Linked DNA regions of Yarrowia lipolytica. The protein of the gene in region 1 interacts with the protein of each later gene in a pairwise test. Links are inferred from orthologs where the notes say so. Each region holds a gene or a part of one and is shown on either strand. Other genes may lie near its edges.

Evidence for each region.
Region 2: the proteins of YALI1_A17720g (region 1) and YALI1_F03428g interact in binary tests that used the Saccharomyces cerevisiae proteins (3 or more experiments, as listed by UniProt). The link is inferred for Yarrowia lipolytica from reciprocal best matches to the Saccharomyces cerevisiae genes ERV41 and ERV29.

What each region holds. Positions count from the first base shown.
Region 1 is NC_090770.1:1,770,485-1,774,294, reverse strand, and holds YALI1_A17720g (uncharacterized protein), read left to right. Parts: upstream 1-2,260; coding exon 2,261-3,274; downstream 3,275-3,810. Other genes in the region: YALI1_A17724g (uncharacterized protein), read left to right, coding at 1,666-1,780, 1,853-1,953; YALI1_A17671g (uncharacterized protein), read right to left, coding at 3,492-3,810. UniProt on the Saccharomyces cerevisiae protein: Constituent of COPII-coated endoplasmic reticulum-derived transport vesicles. Required for efficient transport of a subset of secretory proteins to the Golgi. The C-terminal Ile-Leu motif is required for exit from the endoplasmic reticulum.
Region 2 is NC_090775.1:340,870-344,419, forward strand, and holds YALI1_F03428g (uncharacterized protein), read left to right. Parts: upstream 1-2,007; coding exon 2,008-2,976; downstream 2,977-3,550. Other genes in the region: YALI1_F03452g (uncharacterized protein), read right to left, coding at 3,345-3,550. UniProt on the Saccharomyces cerevisiae protein: Constituent of COPII-coated endoplasmic reticulum-derived transport vesicles. Required for efficient transport of a subset of secretory proteins to the Golgi. The C-terminal di-lysine motif is required for exit from the endoplasmic reticulum.

The DNA.
Region 1 (3,810 bases):
TCCACTTTGGGTGGGTCGGTACGATGAAATGGCCAAAGCACATGTTGGTTCTCGATGAAAGGGGATTCGATATTTCTTCCACTTCCCCAGTCTTACAGTATCTCCTTGTCATCCTTGTCACTCTTCTTTGAGACCTCCCTAGTGCCTAGCCTTGTACCTGTCGGTTAAGACTAGCCGCGGAAGATTCCGAATTGGCTACAAGTAGCTCAGGCACACCAAGAGACAATTTTTCCGAAACTGACCGAGTTGCCCCGGAGCTGGTCGCCTTTAGCTGACATGGGTCGCCATATCTCCTGACCTTCGCGATATGAAAACTTTTCCTTGTCTTGGCGCTGACAGCTGTCAAACCGTAGCAGCCACCCCAACCAAGGGCAGGGATAGGGATAGGGATGTTGTTGTAGCCGTTGGTCTTGAATATTGTTGAGAAAAGAAAAAGAAATCAGATGTTTCCAAACGAGTTTCATAGACGAGTTTCCGTGGTCAGTTTTCTAGGATTTCGTGAGCATCTTCTCTACTGTCTGAGATGAACGTTGGTATGTACAGAACTTGAACATGCACTATGAGTCCTCTGCGCAAACTGTACCCGGATCACCGAGGACACTTGTCACTGAATTTTGTCAGAAATGCAACGTCAGTGATACTACCATCTTTTTTTTATCAGATTTAGCCGAAAGCAATGCGCTGCTCTCTACCCCACACTCTTAACATCAGACTCTCAACGGCAGCCAAGTGGAGCAAAAAGAAGCCAAAATATCGACTCTAGTCGGCGGGGAATGGCAGGGGTCAGAGAGTTGCTCCGCCTACTGTATCTGTTGCATAGTAGCCATTCTCCTTCTGAACGCCGCTTAGAATGATTGTTTGTGTCTGTAGGAGGAGTGTCAAGTGGGGACATTCGGTGCTCAGGCGTGATTTAAAGTAGATTTTTGACATCTGGGGGGCGTGGGTGAACTGTTGTAGGCCTTTTTACCGTCTCTAGAACGGGTTTTGGACGAGTTTTGGGTTTTTTTTCGCCAGATCGATTTTTCATATTTGACCAGATATTGGAAAAACAAGGTTGGGTGTTAAAAATTCGCGGTCCCTTGGCCCAGTTGGTTAAGGCGTCGTGCTAATAAGAAATTAGCCTCTTTGCAACGCGAAGATCAGCAGTTCGATCCTGCTAGGGACCAATTTTTTTATTGATGGAGAAACCGCGGCACATATCTGTCATTTTTTCCTTTGTTCTTTTTCCTAGATTACGCATTGTACGATACCACCATACCTTACCATACCATGAGTATCGTACGATACATCCGGGTAACTTCTTGTGGCATGTTCGGGGCACCATGACGATACTGTATACAGCAATCTATGATTCAGAACATGGAGATGAAACAGACAGCTGAATCATGTCGTATCGTCACGGAAGTCCAATTCGGTTCATCTCTGTAAGATCTTTGTTTCTACATATCAAGCCACTTGCTTACTGTACTGTATGTACTATTCGACATTGACACTTGATCTTGTAGCTTCGACGCTTGTTGAGCAACCGCCCCGCACTGGAAATATGTGGCCCAAATGAACGCCTCGGCATGTACGATATGAGGCGAGTATTTGTAATAACTGCTGTTTGACTCTTTTACTTCTTTCTTCTTGCAACATTTTCAATATCTACAACCAAAACACACCATGACCGGAGCCGCCTCGACCATCACCTACGAATGTCCCATTTGCCAGAAGAGCTACTCTCCGGACGCCTACACCAAACACGTCCGGGAGTGCGTGTGTTCGTATACACGGGAGAGTCAGAAGTCTGACGATTGATTGGAGGGAAGATGAAGAGAGTTGATTGTTTGTATTTGACACTAACTCGTAGTTGGGCTGTATCGTGATTGTATCGTAGGTCTCTCTCTAGCTGTAGGTGTCTCCACTCAGATTGGTTGTGCTTCGGTTGATCTATCGAGAAGCGTCAACTAATAATTTCAAATTAATCAACAAAAATTGTGCAGTTTTGTCAAATTAGTGGACGGTTTTGTGAGCGTTGCCGTTCGGTTAAGAGGAGGTCAAGGGTCGGTTAAAAACGGGATATTGCGCCGGATAATCAAGAGTATCTTTGGGGCTAGGTTACTTCCTGTTAATACGTCGCTTCCAGAAAAACGCGGACAAATCCTATCTCACTGCTCTGACATAAACTAAATCATGCATCTGAGAGGCATGTCTATGTAGTGTCAGAGCATATGGCCAAAGCCACCTCATCACTAACAAAACGATCCAGCACCACAACATGTCTGAAAGCTCGACCTTGAGGTCGTTTGACGCGTTTCCAAAAGTCAACACCGCGTACAAGCGACAGTCGACGCGAGGCGGACTCGCCACCCTGGTGATTGGCGTCCTGTGTTTCTACTTTCTCTGCTCCGAGCTGCGAGGATACTCCAACGGCCACGAGGAGCACATTTACACAGTGACCAAGGACCTGGCAGAAACCATCCAGCTCAATGTGGACGTGACAGTGGCAATGCCGTGCAAGAGCATCAAGGTGATTGCTCAAGACTACTCCGAAGACACGTTTTTCGCACACGAGCTGCTCAATATGCAGGGCCTGACATATGACTTTGGCACAGACCGAATGCAACACGAGATCCACAGCCACAAGGCGTACGAGATGAACAGTAAGACGCTGAAAAAGAGCAAATTCAAACACACGCGAGTGGGCTCGCATTCTACCGACCCCCACTGTCGAATCTCCGGCTCGGTGCCCATCAACCACGTCGAAGGAGCGCTCCAGATCTTCAATCTGCCCGACAATCAGTACTTCATCAACCCCATGAAGGCCTCCGATGGTCTCAACTTGACTCATGCCATCCATGAACTGTCGTTCGGAGATTACTTCCCAAAGGTGCTTAATCCTCTGGATGGAGTGAGCACCGTCACCGACGAGCCTCTCATGTCGTACCAGTATTTCCTGTCGGCCGTTCCTGTGGAATACAGCTCCGGCAGAAAGAAGATCCACACCTACCAGTATGCCGTCAAAAAACAAACCACCAATCTGCAGGAGCACTTTGTCACCCGACCGGCCATCTTCTTCCATTACAAGTACGAGCCTGTGACTCTCAAGATCCAGGACTCGCGCGAGACGTTGACCGTGTTTGTCGTCAAGCTGCTGTCGATTCTCGGCGGCTTTGTGGTCTGTGGATCGTGGATTGTTCGAGGAGGAGAAAAGGCCTACGAGAAGATTGTGGGCAAAAAGCTGAACTACGCCTCATTGCACACTGGAGGATTGTTGGATCGAAAGAGCTGATCAGGGTAAAATAGAGCACATAGATAGATAGCGGTTTAATGGCATTTATGATGATTTCCGCGTGCATTGACCGAGTTCGATGCTATGAGGAGTATGGTTCGTATTGATGAACACCTCCAGGAATCGTTTCCTTCTCCACAGAGTAGAACATATGTCAACTCTGGACTGTTAGGCCTAATTACACCAGTCAAAACAACTCGTCTATTTCTATAACCACCTAATAAGTATCGATCATGTGCTGCAGGAGCTTTGCAGAACTGATTGGACTCTTCTTCCACACCTTGGACACGCCTCCTTGTTTGGGACTGTCCATCAGCAAAGGTGCAAACACGTCCAGAGCCGTCTTGAGAGTCATGGCCTTTCTGTCTACCAACAGACGGATGAAGGAGCAGATGTAAATCATCACGTTGGCATTCACGTTGGGCACAGCCTCCAGAATATGGGCAGCCACGTCCGCAGTATTGTCCACTCCTCCTCCCATAAACGGAATTCGGCTTCCCGTGCCTGCTGCGATGGTTTTTTCAGGCACAGAGAGA
Region 2 (3,550 bases), on another chromosome or scaffold:
CGTGGAGAGTATGAAGTGTCAAACACGACGCCATCCGTGTACTGCTTGGCTTCCATCCATCCTCGCTTGCCTTTGATTGCCCCGAACCCCCCCCCTGTTGTTGTGCCCTATCATACATGATGATACGCATGTGCATAGCCATAAGATAAACGTGTCGTTTTGTCACGGTGGCGTTGTGGGAGGTCGGCAAATAAAAATGGCACAAGTGTATGCCTCGGTGTCGGAATGGATGGCGGCTGTTTGATCATGTTGATTGCTGGTCGATGGCGTTGGGGACACCTCTGTTCATCGTATCTTGTCATGTGTTTCGGGGCTCACACCCCTAGGTGCTGGGAAATGATTAATGGAGGAGCTCCAGGGGCCCATCCATCGTCGAGAGATACTCACTCTAGTTCACGCAATCGATAAAATGCAATAAGTTAATGACAAAGTCTTGATTATTCAAAATCGAATGAATAAGACTGTCTGGGTTGAGTGCTGCAATTAGTCCAGAAAGGAGTTTGTGTTGGTTGTGGGACGAAAAAGGCCAAATCATCATCAGAGTCAGGGAGGGTAACGCTTGTCGGGTCACGTGGCTTGGAAATGCACAACATTAAATGCAACAATGACCCAAGCTTGATGAGTAGGGGGGGGGAAGATAATGAGCTATACACGTGTCTTCGAGCATTTGGAAGATAATAATCCACCAACCCGCCTGGCCCCACTCTTTATGTACTAGTTTCAACCGACTTTCCTCACTTACAATACCATCTCTAGTCTCGCTGTCGTTTCCCTGCTTGTTTTTTCTGGCTCCGGAGATTCGCGTGCATCGGATTTAGTCTTAGGTTCGATGGACCAGCGTGTCAAAACAATGGAGGGGAATGAGCGTGAAACTACGGTACAACTAAGATGCGATACACTGTCAAGTATCGTACTGGTGTAGGAGTGGGAGAGAGTGATTGTGAAGGCAAAGACGGGCTTTTTCCTAACAAGGAGACGGACGCGTTACAGTAGCTACTTGAGACCGTTGTAGGATCCCAACTAAGTCTCGGTTAGTAATACTTCCACACTGATCAGTCTTGCTCACTATAGACCTCGGACAGTGTATACGGCAGTATACAACAGTATTCAACTGAGAGTCACGTCGCTTCGGTGCACGTACAATTGCCATCTGCATCAAGTCAAATACCCCATTTAGACCCCTACCGGCCTCATGCTCTCGTAGCACATGCCCATCTGCCCCATATGGCCTCACTTTACCCCATTCGAAGCCATTCTCTTTCACACCTCCCGTGTGCACGCAGTGCAGCCAGCTGGCCTTCAGATGCCACGTCATTGTTTGACCCGGCTAAAAAAGGTTTGGGGACGTGCGTGAAAAGTGAAACCGTGAGGTGGAAAAAGGGACGCTGTATTGCGAGAGACACAACCGATAGAGTAGACGATCTGGGGTACCCGTACTGTACTTATATTGTTTGATTCAATTGAATTATTTATTAACGTGTGTTTTACTGCGTATACAAGCCCTTTCCTATCACTTGAGCCCGTAAGTCAATCTAGCCCTACATATGAGTCGTAGACCCATGCTCGCGTCCCTCAGCCATTATACAGTAGCTTACGCCAGGCCTGCTCTACAGTAATAAACATCCTTTCCCCCCCAACCCCACCAAATACAGTAGCTTGCCGCCGCATGACGTGGACTGTAGCTAATACTGTAGTTTGAGATGACCTAATTAATTAACCGAAGAGAACAGCAAGATGGGAGATGTCATCGCCGTAAAAGTGGCCAATCTGTATAAGAGGACACGCAATGGCGGAATAACGGAGATATATTAGCCCTCCAACGTCCACTTACAACTACCCTGCCTAGTCCCAGCTTCCCACCCTTCCCATTCCACACATCTGTTTTTGGCTACTGCAGCGAAGTGGGCATGCTGATCTGAACAAACTCTCGAAAGACCACCTGGCACACACAAGATTACATATTCTACCTTTCACAATCTTCCTGTGTTAACACCACACCATACAACAATGTCGATCCGAGGCACCGCCAAATACCACCAGATACCCGTCCAGAGCGACGCGCCGCAATTCGCAGCCCCCCAGGGTCAACAGTTTTCGTCCTACTCCCAGAACCGCGACTTCAACCTCAAATCCACAATCACAGAGGGCGACTTTGCCGACAAGGTCAAGGCCGTGACCCAGAAGATTGAGGTCTTCCTGGACAAGTACTCGGGCCCGGTCAAGCCCCATCTTCCCACCCTCGGCCGGTTCCTCATTGTCGTCACTTTCCTGGAGGACGCGCTCCGAATCCTCACACAGTGGTCTGACCAGGTCTACTACATCACCAACTTCAAGCACATCCCCAAGTTTATCACCGTCATCTTTCTGCTGCTCAACGTGGTTGCCATGATCGCCGGATCCTTCATGGTCACCGCCAAGAAGCGAATTGAGGTCGGTTGCGGTCTGCTGGTCGGAGTCATTGTCACCCAGGCTCTGGCCTACGGCCTCATCTTTGACTTTGGCTTCATTCTGCGAAACCTGTCCGTCATTGGCGGTCTTTTCATCGCTCTTAACGACGCCTTTGTCAAGGACAAGTCCAAGCGAGGTCTCCCTGGTCTCCCCTCTATTGACGACAAGGACCGGTCCAAGTACGTGCTCCTGGCAGGCCGAATCCTCCTGGTTGTCATGTTCACCTCCTTCATCCTCAATATGACCTGGACTATGTCTCGAGTTCTGGTGTCCATTGTCGGAATTGCTGCTTGCTCCATGGTCGTTGTTGGCTTCAAGGCCCGAGTTTCCGCGTTCCTCCTGTGCATCATCCTCTTCATCTTTAACATCACCGCCAACTCCTACTGGGCCTTCCCCGCCTCTTCTCCCGTCCGAGACTACCTCAAGTACGAGCACTTCCAGACCCTGTCCATCATTGGCGGTCTTCTGCTGGTTGTCAACACCGGAGCCGGCAAAATCTCCATTGACGAGAAGAAGAAGGTCTACTAAGCTATTACTAGTCAGCAACAACACTTTGGTAGAGTTTGATACAGACATTGACATCTACCGCGATGTAAAAATAATGTATACTAGGAGAGTCTGTCGTTCGCGAGTGGCAATGTCATGAGTTACACCTGATTCAAATAGTGAATAATAATATAACAGCCACAAATGAAAGATGTATCCACGGGTAGATATGGCTTTAATTACTGATGATTGAATGATTATCTGAGTGCTACAGTTGTAACGAGTACGAGTTATTACCTGCTACTATTGTACTCCTAAATCAAAGTACTCGTACATGCAATGAATTACTTGTACTTGCGCCAATCAGATCTATCGATTGTATTGTATATAATACTAGTCTATTCTTTTGCTTACCAGATGGTGTAACCTCCATCGACAATGAGATCGTGGCCGGTCATGTAGCTGGAGGCGTCGGAAGCCATGAAGACAATAGGGCCTCCAAACTCCTCGGGCTCAGCCATTCGTCGGAAAGGAATTCGTCGCTCCCAGTCGTTTCGGAGCTCTCCGTCAGTCTCGATGATGTGACGGGTCAGAGGAGTAAGAATGTAGCCGGGAG